Linked DNA regions of Arabidopsis thaliana. The protein of the gene in region 1 interacts with the protein of each later gene in a biochemical or structural test. Each region holds a gene or a part of one and is shown in the gene's direction. Other genes may lie near its edges. The genes, in order: HAB1, SNRK2.3 and SNRK2.7.

Region 1 (3,757 bases):
GAAACTATAATACTCATAAATGATCTCATGTCTTCTTTGTCACAAAACACCCACAACCAAGATCGATTGTGTTGTTTTTCTTTTGTCTGGCTTTGCAACCTCAGAGAAGAAACAATGAACAATGAAAAGAAACAGAAAATTGTATTGTGAGATGATGAAGCTTTTAGTGGTTTTACAATTTTTCTAATTTTGGAGGGTTTATTTCTCAAACAACTCAACAGTCTTGTGAAACAAACAAACAAGAATGGAAATTTCCACAAGTCTCAACTTATCTTTAATTAGAGAGTGATTTTTGGGAAGTTGCTGGTGAGATCTAGTTTGTACTATAATGTACGCGTTTCGATTAAAATAAAATTCGATTATACATTATCAAAATATTAAATCGATTATTTTATCTTAATCAGTAAAACAAAGTTTTTAGATAAAAATATTAGTAAAACTAGTCAAACATATGGTTTAGTCTTTTAGGTTTATATAGACTAGAGGTTGAACCAAAAAAGAGAGTAAAATAGACTAGAGAATAGAATGTTATGTTTAAACATGATCACACATCTCAATTTACACACATTTACTTAATTTGAGTTTCGATAATAATGCAACAGCAATATATGTATCTACGAATTTGAAATTTATGAGTACAAAATCTAGAGGTGTAACAAAATATTTATTATTTTCGTCCCTGATCAATCAGAGTAGCCACGTGGGCGGGTGGTAGAAATCGAAATTATTGCGATTATTGACTTGGAAAAAAACAAACACACGTTGCATTTTTTGATTTACGTATCCAAAAAGAACAAAGAAAAAAAGGTAAACGACCAAATAATATAATTTTCTGGGGCTGTCGTCTTCCATCTTTATTTCTTCTTGGCGATATCACCATATCTTATACGTCTCTCGAAAGATTATTACTCTTAAGACGATTCCATTAAACACTGATTGTGAGAACTTGTACTTTAACGTTATCGAAAAGTATACATAAATATTTTTATTTTTTTAGGCTGATTCATTCTTACTGATAACAATAATTTTGTGTTATTCTTTCTTACCTAGAGAGTTCTATAGACAAGTTCGTAACTATAAAACCAATCTTTATTTCTTACTCATAGCTTTCAAAACTAAAACTTGATCAGTTTAAATAAAATATATGGGAAATTTTTGCTGAACCAATATATTACGTGTCAAGATTTCATTGATCCTATTAATACAATTTATTCATTTTACAGTTATATCAAATACAAATTACAACTAAGATACTCACTTATCTACACGTCAGATTGTACAACTAAGATACTCACTTATCTATATCTAATTTTCGTGGTTAATATTACATGTCAAAATTTTATGGAAATAATTAGTGTTTTTCTACTTTATATAAATTTTTATGATATATTTTTTTTTTAAAAAAAGGAAAGAGAAAGAAATCAATTTCCATTTGTAAACATATTTTTGGTTCTGAAAATAAATAAATGGGAAAAAAAGGAATTAAATAACATCTGTTGTTGTTAGCTGATCGACAGGTGTTGCCTGAAGCGACCTTAAAAAAAGAAAAAGGACAAAAAGTTGAAGAAAAAAAGAGGACAAAGTTCACAAAATGATACAAAGACTAATACGTGTCCTTTTATTAATCCTCTTTTGTAATAAATACTCTTTTTTCCTATAAATTATATTACAAAACCAAAGAAAAAAAGGAATAAAAAAAAACAGAGAGAAAAAGCAAACCACACAATATTCTCTTCTCTCTCTCTTTGTTTCGCTGATAGAGAGAGCCTCTCTCTAAGCAATTTAGCTCGAGCGAGAAATAATCCTGAGGGAAGAAAATAAAAAGAAGAAGAAGAAGAAGAACATCTTTACTTTTGTTCTCTCTCTCTCTTCTGTTCGATTTTAATTTTTTTGCAGATGCGAATATCTTCTAAAGATTCATCAACTGGTTAGTTCTTTCTCTCTTCTTTTTTCTTTCCTGATTTTTTTATGTTGTTTTTCTGTGTAGTTAGCTTTTCAATCGGAAGATTTTTGCTATTATGTGTCGAATCTCTCTTGTTGTTTTGAGCTTTGTGTTTAGTTTTGCTTAAGAACAAAGTTTAAATTCATCTTTCTATTTCTGGGTAAAGCTAAAGCTTCTTTTTTAATTTAGATCCAAGGAAACCCATGTTCTACTATATGATTATGGACGTTAATGGTTCGAATTTTTTAGGGCTTTCTTGTGATTGATTTCGCTGATTTTCCCTCCTTTTTCTGGTTTTTGTGTGAATTTTCTTTGACATGACCGTTTGGATAATGATTCGTGAGTTTTTGATTAGTGCTTTGTGATCTCTCAATAGGGTTGAAATCAAGATAAGGATTTGAGAAAAGATCGACGAAGTTGTTGCGATTTTGGGATCAAGAGAGTGATATAATCGAGTGAGGAGAATTCGTCGTATAGATTCGTCAGATCTGGTTATCTCCGGTACTTAATTCTCCTTGATTCGTCGTTTTAACTATGCTAAGTTAGTGTATGAATAAAGCGGCATTTGGGTCGCTGACAAAAACTTATTTGGAGCAAGGATTCTTCAACATCATGAAACCATTGCTTAGAGTATTCGAAGAAGAAGATGAAAACAATTGATTTCTCCTAAGTCCATCTTTGAAATTTAAAGCTTTGTTGTGGTGTGGTGTGGAAATCTCTGATTTTGGAGAGCTCATGGAGGAGATGACTCCCGCAGTTGCAATGACTCTTAGCTTAGCAGCCAACACCATGTGTGAATCATCACCTGTCGAGATCACTCAGCTAAAGAACGTTACTGATGCAGCTGACTTGTTATCTGATTCTGAAAATCAAAGCTTTTGCAACGGAGGGACTGAATGCACTATGGAAGATGTTTCTGAACTGGAAGAGGTAGGTGAACAGGATTTGTTGAAAACTTTATCCGATACGAGAAGCGGGTCTTCCAATGTTTTTGATGAAGACGATGTATTGTCTGTTGTGGAGGATAATAGTGCTGTCATAAGTGAGGGCTTGTTAGTTGTTGATGCAGGCTCTGAATTAAGCTTGTCTAATACAGCTATGGAAATAGATAACGGGCGAGTTCTTGCAACCGCGATTATCGTAGGCGAATCAAGCATTGAGCAGGTTCCCACCGCGGAAGTTCTTATCGCGGGTGTAAATCAGGATACCAATACTTCGGAGGTTGTCATTAGATTGCCAGATGAAAATAGTAATCATCTGGTGAAAGGGAGAAGTGTTTATGAACTAGATTGTATACCGCTTTGGGGCACGGTTTCCATTCAAGGGAATAGATCTGAGATGGAGGATGCTTTTGCCGTGTCACCTCATTTTCTGAAACTACCCATCAAAATGCTTATGGGGGACCATGAGGGTATGAGTCCAAGCCTCACACACCTCACCGGTCATTTTTTCGGTGTTTATGATGGTCATGGAGGCCATAAGGTATGCTATATTCACATTTTATGTAAGTTGTTTTAGCAATGTAGATTGTTATACACCTCTTTGAGATGTTCTGGTTAAATTCATAGATTTTAAATCTACAATGGCTTGTAGGTTGCTGACTATTGCCGAGATAGACTCCATTTTGCTTTGGCTGAAGAAATAGAACGTATAAAAGACGAATTATGCAAGAGGAATACAGGAGAGGGTAGGCAGGTGCAGTGGGATAAAGTCTTCACGAGTTGTTTTCTAACTGTCGATGGTGAGATTGAAGGAAAAATTGGTAGAGCCGTTGTTGGTTCTTCTGATAAGGTTCTTGAGGCTGTTGCGTCTGAG
Region 2 (3,757 bases), on another chromosome or scaffold:
TTGTCCCAGAAGATGCACTTTATACTTGCATGTATTATCAATTTAGCATCAATCGCATCGATCAAGTTCTTTATATTAATAATATTGTTTCTTAAGTCTCTCTTTTGGTTTTACTTATATTTCCTCGACTTTTCTTGCAGTTGGAAACTCTGACTTTGCTCAAGGCATTATGGACGCAATCGAGTTTTTCTTTCTTCCTGATTTTGTCGGACGTCCAACAGCGAAAAGACACTCACCACGTAAAAGTCAAACGACTAACAAAGAAGTCAGCTTATTTGGTTGATTTTGAGTCCTGCAGACAGTTTTGGTATAAAGTATAAACCAAAGGCCTCGTATCAATTTGAACAAAAGATCTCCACTCCATCCCGAAACAAATACTACCTTGCTTTTTTTTTTCTTTGTACCCTATTAATATTTTTTTGACATTTCTTTTGGTTCAAGTAAAAAAAAGGAGAAATTAGTGTTTTTGGTTGCAAATCTATTTGTAAATTAGATGTCAAGAGAAGTGTTACTTGCCCTAGTGGTTTATCACATATCCGACGTCAACCGGAAATATTAAATTAAAAAGTATGAATAATCTATCTTTGTATATCCGCATTTACATTTTTTTTTGTTTCTGGAAAAGTATCGATCCTGTTATATATACCTAAAGTTTAAAATGCGAAATAAGAAACAAAAAGAGTTTAGTTTATGAAAACATTATCATAATGATACCAAAAAGGCTAAGGAAAAACAAATTACAAAAAGGCTACATCATTTTTTAAAAGAGAGTGTGTGCTTCACATATAAACAAGGAAACGCATATAATAATCATCAAGTAGCTAGATGAAGCTAAAGAAGTAGTTAAGTGTGAATGCTTGGCAATTAAGATTGTGTTGGTTCATTTATTAACAATCTTTGACCACTCACTAATTTATTTTTGGCTCTCTCTTCTATATCATCACCGTTTTATCTTTATAAACCATCCCTCAAGACTCTCCCAATATTACATGATGTGTTTAATCCTCACGAATTCGCATGAATCAAAACCGGCTGAAAAACAGATGTAACATTTAAGTTAACATACTCACACCAATCTAAATTATTAGACTTTCATTCACTTTAACACATTTGTCCATACCATGATGATCATAACAATCAGTAGCTAAATCAATGTGAGTGTGGCTTAGATATTTGATCTGAATGATTCATGAGAAACATGGATACTTAATGTTCATGTGCATGTGCATATAATAGTATATTAATCTCACCAGTAGGATGCTTAGTATAGCAATAAAGAGAAGGTGGTGAAATTGATGAGCATCGGCCATTAAATTAAGCACTGACCCATTAATTGCGCACTTACCCATAAACACCATTCACTCCTTTTCATTAACTTAAGAGTAAAATTATACATACACCTCGCTATCTCTAACACTAGTCACACTAGTGTACCTTCCTCGGTACTCTTATCAATGTCTCGTGTCGCAATAAATCCATATAAAGATTTCTAACTAGGTCAATCCAACATCCAATTTAATACAACAGTCCTTAGTAGATTCTAATTTAAGTGTGTCTCTATATATATATGGACCGACAAAATCAATGACCTAAGATTTGACTATATATTTCATGCAAATATGATAAAATGCTATTCATCCAATTAATCATCAATATTGTAATTGGGCTGGCCTTTTGCTTATATCTTTAGGCATTTTCTTTAACAAAATTAGAGCCAGGCCCATCAATTAAATTGAAAAATGCTTAGAAGTTGTCACGTCACTGTCCATGTCATCCATGGTGGGATTGGGCTGGCCTAAAGGACTTTTCTATGTAAAAATTAGAGGCAGGCCCATCAACTAAATTAAAAAATGCTTAGAAGTTGCCACGTCAGTGTCAATGTCATCAGTGTCTATTTCTAACGCCGTCAAGTAACGGAATAACGCAACCGAATATTCTTTCATCACATGGCCGCTTCTGCAGCACGTGACTTTCAAGCTTCTGTTTTCCTTATGAACTAAGTTTTTCTGTTTCCTCCAAACTATTTTTTTTAATTAGAATATCTTGTTATTTATAACGAATATATCTTCTTCTTTTACTTATTTTTAACACAAATATTTATTTGTTTGATACGAATTCTCAAAATGAGAAAAACGAAGAAAAATAGAAAAAAATCGAAACGGATAAATACAGAGAATTTAGAGAAAAAAGGTTTGTATTTTAGGAGACAAGGACGAGTGAAGTCGTGCTTTTTCTTTTTTTATTTCATGTTAATTTTAATATTTTTGGGTTATAGTTTCTTAGGAAGCAACATCAATCATCAAAACGCGGCGGCTCTTGTCGTATCAAAGCAACTGAACGTTGTCGTTTTGGGACAATCCTTATCTCTTGGGGCAACCAATTATTGCCTTTTTTCTTCCTCTCTTTCCTTATTCGTTCTCTTCTTGAAGATATTTTTCCATTTATTTTCTCGAATCTTCTTCTTCTTCCTAGATTCCAGCGACTTAACAACAACAACAACAACATATTCTCTGCTGGGTATTAGATTCGAATTTCTCTTTTTGTGATCAGAAATGGATCGAGCTCCGGTGACCACAGGACCGTTGGATATGCCGATTATGCACGACAGTGATCGATATGACTTCGTTAAGGATATTGGTTCTGGTAATTTCGGTGTTGCTCGTCTTATGAGAGATAAACTCACTAAAGAGCTTGTTGCTGTCAAGTACATCGAGAGAGGAGACAAGGTTTCATTTTTAAAAATCTCATCTTTTTCTATTTTTGGAAGTTGATGATATTTATTTAGTCCAGTGATCGTTCATTTTTAGTGTTTGGTTTAGCTTTCACTTTCCAGATTTATTGGTTTCGTACTTAAAGTTAGCGTTTTTAGATTTTGATGATTATGCTTTTGAGTGCTTTTAATGTGATTTTAAAGATGTGAGCTTCCTAACACTTGAATGATGATTTTAATTTGTGATTTATGTGAAATTTTGGATATTGAAATGATTTTTTTAGTTGGTTTTGAGTGTTCTGCTTTTGTAGATTAGGACAGTTGTGAATGACTTGTAACTATGGGAGTTGCAGATTGATGAAAATGTTCAAAGGGAGATCATTAACCACAGGTCACTAAGGCATCCTAATATTGTCAGATTTAAAGAGGTAAAATTTATACACTTTTCTTCAGTACTTGTCTTTTTGGAATTTGTTAAGCCAGTGACTCTTTTAAACTCTGTTTCTTGTACTTGAGGATAGGTCATTTTGACGCCGACTCATCTGGCTATCATAATGGAATATGCTTCTGGCGGTGAACTTTACGAGCGGATTTGCAATGCAGGACGGTTTAGTGAAGATGAGGTTTGTATTTGGTTCTCTTATCGGGTTTACAGGTCTCCGGTTTCCTTATGGTTTGATCTCTTCTTGTAAACAGGCTCGGTTCTTCTTTCAGCAGCTTCTATCTGGAGTCAGTTATTGTCATTCGATGGTATGTAGAGAATCTGTTTCATGGAGCCTATGGACTGGTTGTATTCTTGTTTTTTTCTAACTTGTTGTTAATACTCTACTTTTTTTCATGTGCTGTGAAGCAAATTTGCCATCGTGACCTGAAGCTAGAGAATACATTGTTGGATGGAAGTCCTGCTCCTCGATTAAAAATTTGTGATTTTGGATATTCAAAGGTATCACAAATGATTTTGTTCTTTTGGTATCAGAAACTATACACTTGTGGTTCCTCCATTGTCATGTTCAAATGTGTTTTTAAAGTGTTTGCTTATGCATTTCT
Region 3 (3,757 bases), on another chromosome or scaffold:
TTTTGTTGGAAATATATTTAACTTGTTTCACTATTTGTCTATTTATATGGGCCAGAGAGACCTTTTTCGATTTTCTTATGTAAAACACAAAATGAAATAAAACTGAAAAAGCTCAAACAATGTGGTAAAGGTGTCATAGTTGCAACTTACAATGAAAATATTTTAATACATTAAAAAAGAAATCCACTTTATTTGAATATAGAAAGTGAAATCAAAATGTTTTGTTATATAAAATATATGTAGAAAATCAATTTTTTATTAGCCAATTTCGCATTTGCACTCCTCAAATCCTCTAGTGCGATTCTTTTATTGCCTTTTCTAAAAGCCTTGAAAAGTTAACTTTTTACTAGAAAAATTCCCATGTGTTTGTATGCTATAGCTTTATTTTCTATTTATGCTAATAAAATTGACATCCTTTTCGCATTTAACCAGATTACAAAGCGAAATGTAATCCATATTGTGGGAAAAAGGTATACAAGATTCCAACAAATTAAGAAATTTCATTATTATAATAGTTTTTGGTCTCGATATTTGGGAAATCATAATGAAATTCATAAGTTTTTCAAATGTATAATAGCCTTCCAATAATAGCAACCAAAATGTGGGGACAATTCTGCTATCACCCAACCACTCAACGGTGATGGGCTTTTACATCACGGCCCAATATTAACCTCCCACGTAACCTTTTTCCATTACGCCCTGACGCACAAAACACCACTTCCACTTGGCATCTAGTTTTGTCACTTGCTTCGAAATTGCCACATGTACGGATAGTATATCGCCACGTATACGAATGCTTTGGTTTACCTTATTAATTCTACTATTTCGCTTTCTCAAGGCGTTGACTTCTTAACCCTCTATATCTCTATTCCATAAGTTCGTGTCTTAACAAATTGTTTAGATTAACATATCTCAAGTCTTAACAAAATAACATATGAAGGATATGTATAAGATAACACTAAGCTGGATAATTTTCCTTAAGATCACAAGAGATCATTGAGAGGATTTTGTTAAGCGTATCTTAAAAAAAACAGAGCTGTTTGAATCATCACGAATATAGTATTTGATTATACACACATTATTTATATGCAAATACATTATACTAAAACGATAAAAATGAAAGAAAAAAACAAAAACATTATGGGGGGCGACTATAACGAAGTCTGCTAAACATTTTGCTTACCTATCTATAAAAAAAAAGCAAGAAAAAGATTATACACAATGAAAGAAACAAACAGAAGGATCAAATAATGATCTAAGGCACGCATTGTTTAATAGACCACGTAATTTGTTTAAGCAACATTTTTTATTGGCTTTTAGCTTTTGATCATTTAGCCGTTGACCTGTTAATTTGGTCGACATCTAAAATTTTGTTTTGTAAATAAAGATTAAGCTCAATTATTAATTCATTTATAATATTTAGATGAGTTTGTTTGTTTATTGGGTTGCGGAAAATGATCACGAAATCTAAAATGTGGGCCATTCTTTATGTTTTCTAAGATAAGAAAATTAGGTATCTTTATTTAATTTTAAAACAGGTAAGTTTGGTAGAAAACTTCAATTTAAAAGATTGAATATATTACTAAAAATGGGTAATCGCATTTATTAATCAGGTATTCACTTTTCAATCTCTGAGATGTTGATGAACTATATAACATACAAGGATTAATTATATGTATTGACAATGAATTATTTTTCTCTTGCGAGAAAACGTATAATTCTTGGTCTCTTCCGAAGAAGGTACACATCATAAATATCGATGAAGAGACAAACCAAATTTAACGGTTTGCAAGTTCACCACCTTGTTCCTGTCCTTGTTGTTCATGTTTTTGAGAGATGCCACGTGTCAAATGGGCCTATATTCAACAATAATATTGACGGCCCAACAGTCTCGTGGGCCCATAAAGGTAAGTTGGTGCTGACTGTATCTGTACGTATGTCTGTATATAAATATGCTAATATGTGACTGAACCATGAGAGAAAAAAAGCTTAAATTCTTTAGCATCTTGCTTTAATAACCTCGAGGAAGCAAAACGACATAGTTTTTGATAGAGACATAGAACAACAATATTCTCTTTCTTTTCTCTGTTCTTTGATCCTCCGATCAATGGAGAGATACGACATCTTAAGAGATCTTGGTTCCGGTAACTTTGGAGTTGCTAAGCTTGTCAGAGAAAAAGCCAACGGAGAGTTTTACGCCGTTAAATACATCGAAAGAGGCCTTAAGGTTTTTTTCTTCTTTAATCTCCTCGTAAATATTCTTTTTTCTTTTTTTTTAGTAATCATTTTTTCAAATTATGAAATGGGCTTTATACAGATTGATGAACATGTTCAGAGAGAGATCATAAACCACAGAGACTTGAAGCATCCTAATATCATCAGATTTAAAGAGGTACGTATGTATATGATAATGATCAAAACCATGACTATATCCATATATAATCGTGTCTGATTTTTGGTTTAGTAGAAAACACACATAAACGAACAAAACAAAAAAGAAATCTATGACAAATTTCAGCCAATACGTGATAATAAGCTAGTGGCAATAATTATGGTTAGTGTACAAAATATTCAATTTTAACATATATTTTTCCACTGCAAGATAAAATTGGCGTGAAATTTGATATCCGTACGTTAGTTTGAATTTCGATCCACGGTAATATAAAAGTAAGAAATATCTGGCCATGTAATTTATGTGTATTAATTTCACATGGTTAGACTTCTTCTAAGTTCTAAAAGAATGTATTAAATTTCATATGTCCCATTCTCAAACGGTCCAAATTAGAGTTCATATGACAGCAATTACAAATTCAAGATTATATAAAAATAGAAGCAATCGTTAGGTCGTCTCGATCTTGAATATAATAAAAAAAGAATTAAAATAAATATGTTTATTTGGTTGGATTATTGTTGGGCTATATTGCAGGTTTTTGTAACACCAACACATCTTGCCATAGTAATGGAGTATGCAGCTGGTGGTGAACTTTTTGAAAGAATTTGCAATGCCGGTAGATTCAGCGAAGACGAAGTATAACTTTAATTCATCATTAGCGACGATTAATCTAATAATTACATTGATAATTAACTTTTGCTAATTATTGTTTTAGGGAAGATATTATTTCAAACAACTTATCTCGGGAGTTAGCTATTGTCACGCTATGGTACGTTTAGTCTTCTAATATGAATAATCTCCAAAAGTGATATCATACCATTGAAACTACTGCTTACTGAATTTTATTTTGTTCATTTTGAATGTAGCAAATATGTCACAGAGACCTTAAGCTCGAGAATACACTCTTAGACGGGAGCCCGTCGTCGCATCTTAAAATATGTGATTTTGGATACTCCAAGGTATAACTATATGTACACCATGTAATCTAAGTAACCTTCAGTGATTAGACACAATTCATTGAGTATAATTTTGATTTTGAACTGTAATTGCAGTCATCAGTTTTACACTCTCAACCAAAATCCACCGTGGGAACTCCGGCTTACGTTGCTCCGGAAGTCTTGTCCCGGAAAGAATATAATGGAAAGGTACAAATTAAATTATTAATTAACTACAATAATAGATTGATTAAAGTAAATTAATAACAACAACAACTTGTTTGATAAAGAAGGTCATATAATTTATATTAACATATGATCTTAAATGTATATAGATTGCAGATGTGTGGTCGTGTGGGGTGACCTTATATGTAATGTTAGTTGGTGCTTATCCCTTTGAAGATCCCGAAGATCCACGGAACATTAGAAA

What was found.
Region 2: the proteins of HAB1 (region 1) and SNRK2.3 form a complex in vitro, tested with the Arabidopsis thaliana proteins (2 studies listed by BioGRID, with this or other methods).
Region 3: the proteins of HAB1 (region 1) and SNRK2.7 interact in a test that uses a peptide from one of them, tested with the Arabidopsis thaliana proteins (one study listed by BioGRID).

Annotation. Positions count from the first base shown.
Region 1 is NC_003070.9:27,388,321-27,392,077, forward strand, and holds the start of HAB1 (HYPERSENSITIVE TO ABA1), read left to right. Parts: upstream 1-1,627; 5' UTR 1,628-1,927; intron 1,928-2,318; 5' UTR 2,319-2,677; coding exon 2,678-3,424; intron 3,425-3,535; coding exon 3,536-3,757. UniProt on the Arabidopsis thaliana protein: Key component and repressor of the abscisic acid (ABA) signaling pathway that regulates numerous ABA responses, such as stomatal closure, seed germination and inhibition of vegetative growth. Confers enhanced sensitivity to drought.
Region 2 is NC_003076.8:26,708,145-26,711,901, forward strand, and holds the start of SNRK2.3 (sucrose nonfermenting 1(SNF1)-related protein kinase 2.3), read left to right. Parts: upstream 1-2,157; 5' UTR 2,158-2,190; intron 2,191-2,275; 5' UTR 2,276-2,552; coding exon 2,553-2,726; exon of another isoform or gene 2,727-3,063; coding exon 3,064-3,138; intron 3,139-3,231; coding exon 3,232-3,333; intron 3,334-3,406; coding exon 3,407-3,460; intron 3,461-3,560; coding exon 3,561-3,653; intron 3,654-3,757. UniProt on the Arabidopsis thaliana protein: Together with SRK2D, key component and activator of the abscisic acid (ABA) signaling pathway that regulates numerous ABA responses, such as seed germination, Pro accumulation, root growth inhibition, dormancy and seedling growth, and, to a lesser extent, stomatal closure.
Region 3 is NC_003075.7:18,549,407-18,553,163, reverse strand, and holds the start of SNRK2.7 (SNF1-related protein kinase 2.7), read left to right. Parts: upstream 1-1,980; 5' UTR 1,981-2,107; coding exon 2,108-2,227; intron 2,228-2,317; coding exon 2,318-2,392; intron 2,393-2,926; coding exon 2,927-3,028; intron 3,029-3,107; coding exon 3,108-3,161; intron 3,162-3,258; coding exon 3,259-3,351; intron 3,352-3,444; coding exon 3,445-3,537; intron 3,538-3,662; coding exon 3,663-3,757. Other genes in the region: AT4G40011 (uncharacterized protein), read left to right, coding at 1,760-1,966.